2 linked regions of the Schizosaccharomyces pombe genome follow. The gene in region 2 interacts genetically with the main gene of each other region. Each region holds a gene or a part of one and is shown on either strand. Other genes may lie near its edges.

The links.
Region 1: of cdr2 (region 2) and cut12, changing one suppresses a phenotype caused by changing the other (phenotypic suppression), as found in Schizosaccharomyces pombe (one study listed by BioGRID).

The regions. Positions count from the first base shown.
Region 1 is NC_003423.3:538,050-544,577, forward strand, and holds cut12 (protein Cut12), read left to right. Parts: upstream 1-3,106; 5' UTR 3,107-3,233; coding exon 3,234-3,240; exon of another isoform or gene 3,241-3,282; coding exon 3,283-4,922; 3' UTR 4,923-5,119; downstream 5,120-6,528. Other genes in the region: tail anchored plasma membrane protein Uvi15, read left to right, coding at 1,369-1,404, 1,474-1,655, 1,866-1,911; GTP-binding protein Gtp1, read left to right, coding at 5,372-5,389, 5,435-5,503, 5,619-5,789, 5,843-6,528. UniProt on the Schizosaccharomyces pombe protein: Required for bipolar spindle formation. May act as a regulator of the p34cdc2/cyclin B kinase. Required for full activation of the plo1 kinase.
Region 2 is NC_003424.3:1,361,577-1,369,871, reverse strand, and holds cdr2 (serine/threonine protein kinase Cdr2), read right to left. Parts: upstream 5,077-8,295; 5' UTR 5,027-5,076; coding exon 2,699-5,026; 3' UTR 1,904-2,698; downstream 1-1,903. Other genes in the region: cyclophilin family peptidyl-prolyl cis-trans isomerase Cyp1, read right to left, coding at 763-927, 968-1,064, 1,147-1,226, 1,431-1,484, 1,550-1,591, 1,632-1,661; cyclin Pas1, read right to left, coding at 6,066-7,301. UniProt on the Schizosaccharomyces pombe protein: Acts as a mitotic inducer. In G2 it negatively regulates wee1, a mitotic inhibitor. Also has a role in cytokinesis where it required for proper septum formation.

The sequences.
Region 1 (6,528 bases), on a different chromosome or scaffold from region 2:
AAAGTCATTTGTTCGTATTTTTTTTTATGAAAAGTAGACTGCTTGTAATAGAAAAGTACTATAATAATTTAAATGATCACTTTCATTTAATATGGTAAATGCCAAGTTATCATTCTCCACTAAACAGATCTTCTTCAGGAAACAGACCTTTTATTTTTGACCTGAAGGTGTGATAAATCAGGACATTAAGAGAAATGAAATTACAAGTACAGTTTCTCATCTTTTACATATTTTCGTTAATCGCCCTATAAGGTAGTATCCCTCTTAACTGTTTCTCACATTAAATACTCATTCCTTTCTGTTAGAAAATTCAAAGCGAATGTTCATTCAAAGCGTCTCAGCAAGTTTTTAAGTAGCTTTTTGGCAATTTCTCGTTCTTGCTCTCTCATTTCTTCAAACAATTTCCCTCTATTTAAGCTTAAAATTAGCGAGTGTGATCTAGTGAGGATGATAGATCAAAATCTTGACTTCTGCAACCGATGTCATGATCGGCGGTAGTCTGACTGTGGTATTTCAACTATTTCGCAAGTTTTTAGTCGTGAACATAAAAAAAAATATTGAGCATGAAACCTTCATGCTCATAGTGAAGACGATGCAAGTCTTCTTTTGCAAACCGTATGATTCTAGCGAAGCATAGGCCTAAGTTCGATCTTTCTTTCAATGCTGAGGAAAGAAGGTTAATGGTGGATCTAATACACCTCTTGTTCCGATACTCGGAAACTATTTAATATTGCCGTTCACTTCGAATGTAGAAGCTTTTGCTATAAAATAGCACTGGTGAAAAAAAACTATTTTATAACTTTATACAATCCAACACTAAGGCATGTGTAGTATTCATGAGCAACCGGTAAAAGATTTGAGTGATCAAACATTCCAGTCAAGCTACGCTACAAAAATTTCGAATGATCAAGTGACAATGAAAAGCAAAAAATTTAAAAGCTCAACTGAAAAAAAATAAAAACTTACCTTGCATTTGCAAACGCCAGCAGCAAATCAATAGCTATTTACACCTATAACGCACTTTAAAGCCAGTTCGATATACTCATATTGGGCAACCCAACATGTTTTTAACCATCAGATTATCTTTGCACAGCCTACAGCGAATATTGCGTAAGATGCTTAGTTTATGTGGTAAAAGAACTTTCCACCGCAGAAAAGGAAAGTATATATTTTATACATTTACAAACATTTTAATACATAAACCATTTATTTACAACATTAAAATTAGTATGCTTCTATTGTTGTTGTATAAATTTTTTGTCTATGCATTCGATCTCTGACGCGCACATAGAAGCCTGCGCCCGATTCACAACTTGCCAACTACCATCAACTGGTTTTGTTTTTGTACCCAATTATTTAAGGTGTCAAATGTCTGCTCAACAGTTTTATGGTGATAAGGGCTATGTATGGAATTTGTTATGCAGCTCAGTTGCAACAATTTATTCAGGATTTTACTAACAGCTTCAATTTTAGGCCCCTGCTCCTCCTCAACAAGCTTATGGAGGCCCAAACTATTATCCTCCTCAACAAAATTATCCTCAACAAGGTTATGCTCCTCCACAAGGCTATCCTCAAGGTGGATATCCTGCTCAGCAACCTATGTATGTTCAGCAACCTCAGGCCAGTGATCCTGGTGGCGATCTTTGCTGTGGTCTGTAAGTATAAAGAATGGGCGCGTAGAAGACGTCGAAATTGCATTGGAACGGTGAAGCACACTCTTAATTTTGAAAGGTGAATGGGGTATTCTTTATTGAATTAGGTCATTACGTCAGTCGATTAAAGTTGCTTTGGCGTTCCTTTCGAATAGTTCCCTGTTGAACTGTGTTTTGCTTTACCTTTTTCTCTTTACTAACGACTGTTTTTAGATTGACCGGTCTTGCTTGCTGTTGCTGTTTGGATGCAATGTTTTAAAAAACTATTTGGCTTGTTCTTTCTACTTTTCTCGAAAGAGAGCATGCACCACTGATTAAACTAAAAGCCGTGTTTATTTTCTGACTTGAGTGCAATTAATGATTGTTGGTTATTTTTTCATTAATTCCCTCGCCAGCAAACAACTTTATGGCGAGGATTTATTTATTTACATTGGTAAAGCGTTGGTCGAATAATTATAGATCTTGATTTTTCTGTACAGAGTGTCGTCTCACTTTTTGAAAATTGCTATTACCCAACCGTTTAATTTCAGCTTCTTTTCTTCGAAATTAAAACCTTTAGTTTTATGATGGACTGTCTTTTCTATTTTTTAAGCGCAAAATCTTTTACAGCATCCATTGGTCTAAATCGTTCTTTATGAATAATTTTTAGTTTGGATTAGTTGAAATGACTCGTCCTGAAAAAATTCGCATGTTTATTTATCTTGCTTACCCTGAAGGGGCAATATGTGTGTTTCGTTTTTAGCTAACCTTTCTATGGTTTGTCTACTTTTTTGCTGCTCGTTATATGTTGTGTATTCTGTTTAGTATGCTGTTGTTTTCTTTTAGTGTAGATGAACTCTTTAGATTTCCCAATATGTTTAAGTTTGATAGAGTCGGTTTTTGATCGATACGTATAAGAATTCCTTATTTGTTTTTTAAAAAGATTTTAAAAGTAAATTGAGGCATATATCTTACGTAAAAAGTTTAAAGTTTCTAAGATTTGCTTTGACTATTTCAAACAGGTAGATAGATGCGTGCTTTTTCTATGGTGGAAATACGACAAACTTGTTCACGAAAATGAAGCTCAACCATTGCGACCCCCCTTGATTCAAATGCTATGAATTTGGATGCGCAAGCTCGTTAAGACAAAAATTGCCATATGACTTTTATTGCAATGAGCGCTATATCTACAAATACTCAATATCCTTTATCAATTACCCATCTATAAGTATTATTTATAATCGTAGTAGTAAATGTATTTCATTGCAGCTATACTCTACTTCCTATTCAATTACCTCCTCCATATAGCGAAAAGACCGTTCACGATATCACAAAGTTTATTAACATACAATAACGAGTTCACATATTAAAAGAAATATGACGATACGCAGTGTGTAAAATAGTGTACTGAGAGGACGTCCAATGTAACATGCGATCGGGTTCTTTATTAGTTTGTTGTGTTTGTGCCATACGTTGAAAACCACCGAATTGGGAAATATTGTTAAAGTTGGGTTGTTTGGACATAATTTTGTTAAATTCGTTTAAATTATTTATATTTTTAATTATATTTTTACATGCAGAACAATTCAGAGATCCGATAGAATGTCAGGTAAGGAATTCCTATGTAAACAAAGCTAATCTCAAAATTTAGAAACTTTGAACACTCCGCCAACATATGCATGGGTTTTGAAAGCATTTTCTAGTAAATTAGCAGGAACTGTGACGAAGCCTGTTACAAAAATGTCCTCTTACATTGAGGATGCAGAATCTGATGCAGAACTTCCGCAAGACGCAAAAGAAGACCTGCGCCCAACTGAGACATTAACTCCGTTAAAAAGTAAAGCAGCACAAAATGGGATTTTGAAAACTCCAGGTACTTTACAAATAAAGAAGACCGTCAATTTCAAAGATATTTCAAAAGATGCTGCGACGTGGAATCGTCCAACGAAAAATAATTTCTTATTTACGAGATTAGATGATGAGAATCCTTTAATGGGTCATGAAGAATTCAAATCCCCTTTGTTACAGAGTACTCCAAAACCGAATATTAATAATCCGGATAATGAAAACAAAAGTAAGCATGACGAGTTTGATAATCGCTATAATATTAATATCAATGAATCCTATAAAAATGAGACAAAAAGCAATCAGAGATTAGGCGAAGATGTCCCTTCAAAGAAAAAATATCCTCACTCGATGGATGCCGAGATCTCTAAATTCAAATGGGATAGTAACAATAATAATGACTGGTCAAGTTTAATGAAGGATTGCTTTCGAGATGTTGTGAACAATAATCGAAAAATGAAGGAAATTATTAAAGACGTTATGATTGACACATCCCAAGCTTTTCCCTCTGAGAGCTTGGATGAACCTGACTATACGATAAACCTTGATGCGCCTCGTTCCTCTTCAGGAAAATACTGGAAGCAAAAGTTTAGTATGCTAGATTCTGCTCATTCGGATCTTGAGTTAGAATTAACCTCTATCCGTGAGCGTTTGGAATCCTTAATTTTAGAGAAACAAGAGGAAATCAATTTTTGGAAACAACGTTGTCGAGCTTTAGAAACGGAGAAAATCCATAATCATCAAGGACAACAGTCAAAATACAAAGGCAAGGAATTCGTTGGAAATAGATTTAGCCAAATGAGGGAGCTTTATACTGCTAAGCCAAGTCCGATTACTACTAAAGTTGTTTCTAGGCCATCCCAATCTGATGTGCGTGAGCCTCAAGAACAGGTTCCTTCCAAGAATTTACATCGGGGAGCAGATATGTCGCATTTGGCAGCTCAAATGCTGACTCATTCATCAAAAAAGTCCCATACGACAAACCTAATACCTTCTGAAGGAATAATTTCATCAACTCCTATTTCCGCAGCTTCCAAAGTACGTATGAATTTAATGCAGTCTAATCAAACTCCTACACCTGCTCCATTTTCAATAGCAGCAAAGAAGTCCCACTTACCGTCGAAACTTAGTTTCCCACAAGATGGTGGTAGCTTATCTTCTGCTACTACCTTGCAGCAATTGCCAAAAGCAAGAGTGACGCCAAACGTGTTATCTTCTTTAAGCTCAAACCTTGGAAAAACAAATCCAACGTCAGTATACCAATCAAAAGCGAACGTAACTACAAGTGCTGATGTTGAAAAACCACAAGTTAAAGTTGCAACTAGTTCTCGCGTGGATTATGATTTGAAGAGTCCAAATCAACGTACTGCGAATGCAAAGAAAAGATTAGAGGAAAGGAGAAGACGAAGGAAGTTGAAACTTCAAGAACTTCAGTTGAATTCCTGAAGGTATAATTTTACTAGATCGATATTGTATAATTAGAATGCATATCCTTTTTAAGTAAAGGACTGGAGCCTTAGTTTCATTTATTTTTGTTGAGGAAAGGTGTGTGCATCAAGTATTGAAAATTAACTATATTCCTTTCGAGAATTAAATAAAATATAAGTCCATTATTAATATTAACTCAAATTACTAATTTTTAGTATAAATGATGGATTCATTATAAGAGGCTTGTAAAAGGCCGTATTAGTCGTGGATATTGTAATTTAATTTCATCTTTTCATGCAGTATTTTACTAGAAAAACATTCAGCTGTACATTTAGATCGTAAGCTGACTGGAAGAATTCCATCTCCTCAACCTCCATTTGAATCTTGTCTTAGGCCATACGCAGTAAAAACTTGAAAGTAGCAACAATTTCATATTACCACACTACGATAGGTTATTAAATGGGAAAATGGGTGTCTTAGAAAAAGTAAATAAAAATATCTGCCGTTATATACTAATCTAAATTGGCTAGATTCAAGAGATTGAAGCTGAAATGCGCCGGACGCAAAAAAATAAGGCGACGGAGTACCATCTTGGTTTGGTAAGTTTTTTTAATTCATTTCTAACTGGAATGCCTTTTATTTTATAGCAAATATTACAATGTTGTTCCAACTTATAAAGAATCAACTCTAAATTAAACTAACCTAGTCCTTTAGTTGAAAGGAAAACTCGCCAAGCTGAGGGCTCAATTACTTGAACCTACTTCAAAATCGGGGCCAAAGGGGGAGGGCTTCGATGTTTTGAAAAGTGGTGATGCTAGAGTTGCATTTATTGGATTTCCATCTGTTGGTAAATCTACTTTGCTGTCTGCTATTACGAAAACGAAGGTTTGCTATTTCTTTTTAAATACTTTATTTTTTTACTAACAATGGTAATATAGTCGGCGACTGCATCTTATGAATTCACTACTTTAACGGCTATTCCAGGTGTACTCGAATACGATGGAGCAGAAATTCAAATGTTAGATCTTCCAGGTATCATTGAAGGTGCCTCTCAGGGAAGAGGTGGCCGCCAAGCAGTATCTGCTGCACGCACAGCTGATTTAATTTTAATGGTTTTGGATGCTACAAAAGCTGCCGATCAGCGAGAAAAAATTGAGTATGAACTTGAACAAGTTGGCATTCGTTTAAATCGACAACCACCAAATGTGACCCTTACCATAAAAAAAAATGGGGGCATTAAATTTAATCACACTGTTCCTCTAACTCATATGGATTACAAAATGGCATACAATATTTTACATGAATACAGAATCCACAATGCAGATATCCTAATTCGTGAAGACATCACCGTGGATGACTTTATTGATCTTGTTATGGGAAATCGGCGATATATCAATTGTCTGTATTGTTATAGTAAGATTGATGCCGTTTCGTTGGAAGAAGTGGACCGACTTGCTCGTTTACCAAAGTCTGTCGTTATTAGCTGTAATATGAAGCTGAATCTTGACTTTCTTAAAGAGCGCATTTGGGAAGAACTCAATCTCTACAGAATATATACTAAACGGAAAGGAGAAATGCCCGACTTCTCTGAAGCCCTGATTGTGCGCAAGGGATCAACAATCGA
Region 2 (8,295 bases):
AGCTGTGAAAGGTCAATTAGATATATTAGGACCTTAAAAAACATTATTATCATGCTTGTGAGTATTCCGTGACCACTACATTCGAACCTTCAATTGACAAATATCATTTATTTGCTTAATTACAATTATAACGTAATACGTTAAAACACGTAAAATAATTTGCTAATTATGGATCACACAAATTGGCGTAAACAATTAAAAGAAGAATTAAATAAAAAAGAGAAGGATTCATGCCGTTTTTATGCATTGGACTTTATTTTGATTCTGAATTTTTTTTAAAATAACATCCCACGTTGTAACAAAAAAACTGAAGCAATAGTATTTGAGTAATCTAGTCCAATAAACTCTTGTAGTTGTATATTTGGCCCGAGCTTTAATCTTCTAATTAAGAAAAAAATACAATTGTAAAATTTTTGATAAGGAGAAAAGTACCGGAAGCAATGCTAACGTTGTAAAAGGTTTTTGTTCAATCGTTTATGGTCAAACAACTAGGTTGATATGCGTAACAAAATCCATCTCCAATTTCTTAAGCTAGAAAACTAGTTAATTCCTTCTTAGAAGCTTATGTTATTCCACTTGACTTGTAAAATTTGACTTCAATTAAAAAGTCCACCTTTTGTAAGGAAATGCTTCTCTTTATCAACTATTAATTTAGCTTTTAATATCCGTGACAAATAACTTTAGTCAATATCTTCAGGATGTGTTGAAAAATCGAAAAAAGACTTATAGATTAAAACCTTTGAATATCCTTTAAAGAATAATTTAAAGTGCAACAGCTTTAATGATTTTTAAAGGTTCAATTGGGCGGTCAGATGAATCCGTTCGGATAAGACCCATACGCTTGCACACAGAAAGCCCGCTAACAACACGACCAAAAATTGTATGTTTTCCGTCTAACCAAGGAGTAGGTGCTAGAGTGATAAAAAACTGAAGATGGTTAAAGTTAGTGTAAACAAAGTCATCATACCTGTGATGAATTTGTGTTAGGTCCAGCATTGGCCATTGATAAAATGCCAGCTCCAGTGTGATGTAAATCGGAATGAATCTCATCGTCAAATTTATCCCTAATCAATTAATAAGAATGTGAAAACTTCGTAATAAAGATGCAAACAATCGGTGAATGCCGATTTATAAAGCTTTGCCTACCCATATATAGAAGTTCCACCTCGACCTGTACCTGTGGGATCCCCTCCTTGAATTACAAAGTCTGGAATAACTCTGTGAAACTAATTTAATTAGTACCAATTTCACGAATTAAATCAAATACGATATTGAATGAATTATAGGACACATATTTATATGACTGACTGAGTCCATCATGTAAATGTGAACAGTTAAATCAATAAAATAACACACTTGAAATATTAAATTGTAGACTCATATTTCAACATGCTTATTTGCACGATGCAAACAGTGCGAAAAAAACTTACAATAACACCATCATAGTATCCTTCTTTTGCTAAAGTATAGAAATTTTGACATGTCTATAAGTTAGCGATTCTACTTTCAAAGCAAACAACACTGTTCGTCCTTTATTCTTGATGCGTACTTTAGGAGCATGTTCTGTATACAATTCAATAAGAATTTTTCCCTAAAAAATGTTAAATGCTTGAGCTTGGAAAAGATCTTACCAAACTTGTTTGTAACTCTACATTAGCCATGGTATTTACTAGTTTTTACACGATTTTCTTGCAGTTTTTCGCTGCTTGTTCAAGTAATAAGTTGAAGTTGCAACCTCGCTAAAAATACTGAAAAGGCAATTGCACAGACAATTTTAAAAGTGCTTAATAATATGTCACGTACTTCATTCCAAAAAAACAGACTCTTTGTACAATGCAGATAACCTAGATATCCTACAACTTCAAATGTATTTCTTCAACTATCGAAGTAAGCAGGTTACATATTGAATTCCACTCAAATTTAATATCATACTAATTAGCATTGAGCGACCAAATACTTAATTGGAATAAATTTAATTTATACAGAACAAGCAGAAGGGTCATAAATTTCTAAACATAATACGACCTATGCTGCAGTTCATTGAAATTGTATCCGCTAGTGCTAGTTGATTGTGATAAATAAGATGAAGAAAAAGTCAAATCGATTGAAATAAACGAGACTAAAAAGATTGTGATTTAGAACGAAGAGTTAGAAAGCCAAAAGAAAAGATTGATTAAGATAAAAAATTTTATACCTAAATTAAATAAGAAAAATGTATTTCAAAAAAGATGCCAGCAATAGCCGGTCATACTAAATACAAAAATTACCTTGCTTCAGACATGCAAGTTATTATCATTGGAGTAAGTTCCAAGTACAACATCACATGTACAAAACTCAACAGGTTCCAAGAGAAACATTGTAGCAGAGCAGCAAAATATAATTTAATCATTAAATGCATTTATTGCTTCCCGGATAACCGTGGTTCCATATAGCAAGTTGAACAAGTAAAAGAAAAACATCAGAAAAAGAATGGAGGTCTATAAAGATATTGTTGGTGTATAAAAAGAGTTCCAATATGGGACAAAATGAAAGCTTAATTCAAAAAGTTCCAATACTTCCACGAGTATACATTATGTTCAATTATCAAACGATTAGCTTTTTTGATAATCCTTTTTTTTCCAAAGCATCACGAGAAAAATGAAGTTTGCAAAGGTTTTGGAGAATCAAAAAAAAATGATAATAATAATAATAAAAGAATTTAACTTTGGACGGATTGTCGTTGACGAAATACAGCAAAAGGACTACTACTTACACTCATTCGAGAAACAGGTCTGGATGCCGAAGCTTGAAAATAAGAGAGTTCCAAATTATCCAAAAACCCCTTATCTTCAAAAATCAGCTGGAATTCTGTAGCCAAATGGTCAAAAGTTGTAGAAGAACCGCTTTCCAACACAAAGACAGCTTGTGAACCAAAAAACTCAGCCAGTACCGATATTCTAAACCGAACCGGTTTAAGATTAAGTGAATTTTGTCGTTTAATACGAGCAGATATCGAAGCACTCACAGAATCATATATAATATCAGCAATGCCGATACCAAGAAGCTGCCATCTTCTAAGAACTTCTAAAATTTCATGTTCCAATTCTGAAGCAACCAAGCTGGCATAGACGCATTTACAAGAAGGCTCACTACTAAATAATCTCCTTAAAAATGATCGTTTTGGTTGAAAAGGTGAGCCGGAAAGCTTTTTCTTTGTAGAAGAAGGAGAGAATAACGATTGTCTTCTTCTATGTTTGGGAACATTCAACGAATCATAAGAGGCTGGTGATTGAGAGAGATCAGCACGCATTGATCTCTCCCCACTAGGGGTACGAAGACGACGAGAGTTGTTCATGGTTGCATTTGCGTATGGTTGATTATAGTTATTATTATCAATATTATTAGAGAATTGTTCATTTCCTACGTTGAAGCGAGTAACTCTTGGATTAAAAGCACTGCCGCGCGGGAAGCTTACGACTCGATTACCAGTGTGTTCGGACATTCTAGAAGTGACACGCTTTCTTGGAGGTCCCATACCTGTCGGGAAATTGGAAGCTGCTAAATTACCAACAATACTAGGGTCATTCTCATTCATACGAAAATCATTTGACATATCCAGTGAAGTAGCGCGACGACTTAGTTGAACTTCCGGATCGTTTATAGAAACGTTAAAGTTGCGAGGAGATAATGCAGAAGGAGGTCGGTAATTTGATGACAGCATTGAACTATCGTGGGGATATGCAAGTCCTGGGGTAACTGATTTTGGGAGTTGAGGAACAGCAGAAGATGTAGTGGCTGGTCGTTGAAGTATGGATTGGGGGTTGGTAGCATTAAAAGAGTAATTAAAAGTGCCAGAAGTGGTAACAGGTGTAAGAAATGGCGATGCAGAAGTAGCAGGTCGAGGAACAGACTCTGCAGCATAAGAAATTGGATAAGGCGCTAAAGTAGGAATATTGATAGCTTGTTCAATTTCTTCCTCGTCCATTTGCTGCCCGTTGGATGCTGCTGTACCAAGGAGATCATCGACCACAGCGCGGTTGCGATCAACTGCAGCGCTGGAAGGCGGATGCAAGTGTCTGCTCAGTAGAGTATATAGAGTTTTTTCAACCAAGGGTGATTGAGATGCCAATTTTTCATACAAGGGCATAGGATCATCGGAACATCTGAAAACTAAAGAGAGATGCTGCACTATTAATGGATCAATGGGTTGTATAGGGGCTGATATGATTGGAATAGAAATATTGGGATGAACAAAGCAACTAAGAAACGGGTGTTCACGAATTTGTTCCATGGTAATTCGAGTAGATGAATCAACATCAAGCATGCGGTACAACAGATGTTGGGCTTGAGGAGAGATATTTGATGGCATTTCAAATTGACCCTGACAGACTTTTAGCAACAAAGAACGAATGTTGTCATCATCAAACGGTAATTTCCCTGTTAACAAAGCAAAAAATATAATTCCACATGACCAAATATCGCTAGCACAACCATCATATGAACGCCCCATAATAATTTCTGGGGATGCGTAATGGGGAGACCCGCAGGAAGTCTGCAAAAGCTTTCCTGGCTGTTGAATAGACGCCATACCGAATTCACCGATTTTGATAGAACCATGGGCATCCAAGTATAAGTTCTCTGGCTTTAAATCCCGGTGGCAGATATGAAGTTTATGACAATACTCCAATCCACACAAAATCTGCCATAGAAACTTTGCCGTATCTTGCTCAGTAAAACTTCCTTTACGAAGCATGCAGTCAAAAAGCTCACCACCTGGCATATATTCGACTACGACAAAGAGTTGCTCCTGGGCTGAAATCACATCTATGAGCTGCAAAACATTAGGATGCTCGATCAATCGAAGCAAAACTAATTCACCCTCTATCCTAGCCTGTTGGCTCGAAGTAAGCTCGGACCATCCTACAATCGGTTTTACTACGGCTAATTGCCCAGTTTCACGATGTTTGGCTAAACGTGATGAATTTGGTCCTCCTGATCCTAAGGAAAGACCAAGCTCCCAAGGTCCAACTTCTGAAATTGTACTCATACACTTCAACTATTCAAAAGAACCAGTAAATCGGTGAAGTGGTGATGGCCAAATCCAAACCCCATTCATAGAACAGCATATGTGGGATGTTCTCCGTAATGCTCCCTAAACTTGTAAGCTATAGTATTTGAGTGCATTTAATTACAACAAAATATATATGTGAAATTGATTTTAACATTTGTAAAATTTTTAGTATATAATTTGTTGTTTTGTCTTAATCCTTCCTACTTGCAACTGTACTTTAGGGAAATATCAGTTAATTTTCGTGATGTTCAAGAAGATACGTATAATTATTAGTTTTTACAAAAATCGCTTACAATTAGTGTATTCAACATTGTTTTAAAGACCGTAATCAAAATTGGCTCTACTAGTAGTACGGTGTAGCAATTACTGCTTTTGTAAATGATCAAGATATTTTAGTTCAATGTTTCACAGTTTAATCGTTGAAAAAATATTACTTAGACAACTCTGTTAAAAAATGATTGAAAGGACTCTTAGAGCCTTCAAATAGGATTGGAGCTCAGTAGTAGATTTCAAATGGCTACATTCACCTGCCTAAAATATATAACTATCTTAATGAGCACATACATAATCTCTAAATAGTTTGACTATTTGACAAGTTTATGGCCATAAGAAATCAACAAAATTATCTTTTTTGAATACCTTGCTCTACTGATATCAATTTACAAGATGCATAAGTAAATATAGTTGCCAATCGTTAATTCATTCATACCATATATACATCGTTTTGCTATTAGAATGTTAAAAAAAGATTCATAGAAACGACAACAATATTTGATTTTTAATCAAAACATTGACAAGTCTAGATATGAAAAGAAGGTAGTAATATAAACCTAATCAAGTTTCCCATATCATGATTATCTTCCACACAATTTGAATAGATAAATCAATAGAAAGAAAACATTATCGGTATTTATTGACATCCGCTGTTAAAATGGCATCAGTATTATGAAATTATTCATTAAATATTATAGTTTTTGAAAGAAGCGGCGAAGACAGCGCAGATTGGGCTTGATAATTAAAAGTAACTGCGACGCTTAGCACTGTGTTCCGTTAAACATGAGTAGTCTTCTTCTAAATGCCTTTTTTGAGAACAAGGTTGAGGGAGGGACGCGACATATGCAGACGCTGTACCCAGATCACAACTCACAGATACGGCAAGTGGTAAGACGCTTGCAAAAGGCATATTAAATGTAACTGGACCAGTAGCATTGTTCAATTTTTGAGCATTATAGCAGTAAGCAACACCTCCATTGGACTTAGAAGTCATTGGCCGATATACTCCAACCTTTGGTGAAGAAGGAGTTGGTGGTAGACTAACTGGCTTAGAAAGGCTTGACAACCGACCCGGTAATACTTGAGGATTTACATAAACTTGCGGTTCCATAAGCGGTATTTGTTCGGGTGGCGAAGCAGTAGTCAAAGTGCGGGACTGATTTGAAGCCTGAATATGTGCTTTACAGACATTCATAGGAGCCAGTTGTTTGGCAATGGGTAAAACAGATGGAGTGGATGGAGGGGTACTGCCAACAGATACTGGAGTAGAAGGTGCCATCGTAAGAATAGGTGATGAGTCTTGAGTTGTTTGAGGAGAAGAGGAGGGCTTCCTCGTAGCCTGATTCTTCAAAGCAGCATTAGCATTCATTCTGCGATGTGCTATCTTCGTTAAACAGGCAATGGAAAAAAGATCATCTAGAGAAGATTGAACATTAGAAAACAAAGAGACCCAATATTGTGCGACGCTGCCAAATGAGGCAACATTAGGATCGGTGGAATCATAACGTGCAGTCGCGTGAGCACAACATTCACCAACTAAAAGAGACCATCTAGCAAAAATATGTTTAGGAACGACAAGACGATAATCGATGCATTGGTAAAACATATATTCCAAAACAAGTAATTTGTCAACTGGAAGTCCTGATAGGCGAGACCAAGCACGATTGCTAAAACTACGATCCTGTAAAAATTTTGTAGCGGCCATCAAGCAGACTAAGAAAAGACGACGCCCACATAACAGAGGAATGTAGTTAGTAGGCTTAGAAGAAGCAGCATCACGAAAACGGATGAAGTAATATAAAGCAAGAAGCAACGTAGTGTAATCGACACGACTTCTGCGAATCGTTTCATACAAAAACTGAGTAAGTGAAAGGGAGTGCGAATGTGATTGTTGATTTGTACTTTTAGCCAAGGGGTAGATAGAAAGAATCACGGTACTAAAGGACTCGAGCAAAGCTCGCATGTTAACTTTCGACATCGTGTAGAGAAATATCTAAGATGAAATTTTAAGCAGCTGTTGGAGAAAAATGAAAACTTTTAGCAAGCTTTTTCTCAAAGAGAAGAAAATACGAGTTTATGAAAGGGAAAAAAGCTAACAATGAAAGCTTTCGACGAAAATTTAGTAGAAAAGTAAAAATGGATGACAAAAATTGGAAGACGAACACAATGAGGAGAACGAGTAGATTGACTAAACAGTGCTCCTAACTGGAAAAAAACAGAAATCTCTAAAGGTATGCCATGTTGAAGACACGTACCCAAAATCAGTTAATATTATTATACAAGAAAAAGAAGCTTAGTAAGCCTAAAAAGTTGCAAAAATGAAGAGATAGATGTGTTGGCGAAAATAGTCATCCAAAGAAAGAGTGTAAGAAATAATAATGATTGCTTGAAATCGAATCTTCAAGCGCACAAAGTCGAATTTGAAGAAAGAAAATAAAGCAAAACCGAGATTTTGGGGACCAGGCAGATAAAAGGAAAACTTGAACTGTGTAAAAACCCAAAATAAGCTAGAAAGGAGAGATTGAAAAAATGAGAGGGAAACTACTTAACCAATCTCCTTAACGACGATAAAAGATGCAATCTCTAGAAGAATTTGTTGGCAGAAGAGAAAAACGAATGAAGCAAGGGATGGGATTCAACGATTGAAATATAAGCTAAGATGAATGCGGAAAATAAGCAAAGAAAACAGACCGACAGATAGATAAATAAATAATAAATAAATGTTTGAAATTACACGAAACCGTATGCGAAACCCAAAGTTAATCGACGAAACCAGCGACGGAGTTAGAAAACGTTAAAGCTACAGGGCGACAGCAGACGAATGAAACAAAGGAAAAGTAGATAAGCCTTTTCCCGAGAATTCAAAGAGGCGTGATATTGCAGTCAGCAGAGTAGTTGGAACAATGAAAAAAAGAATAGAAGAAAGAGAACACAAAGCACCTAAACCCAGACAAGCAAATAGAATAAAATAA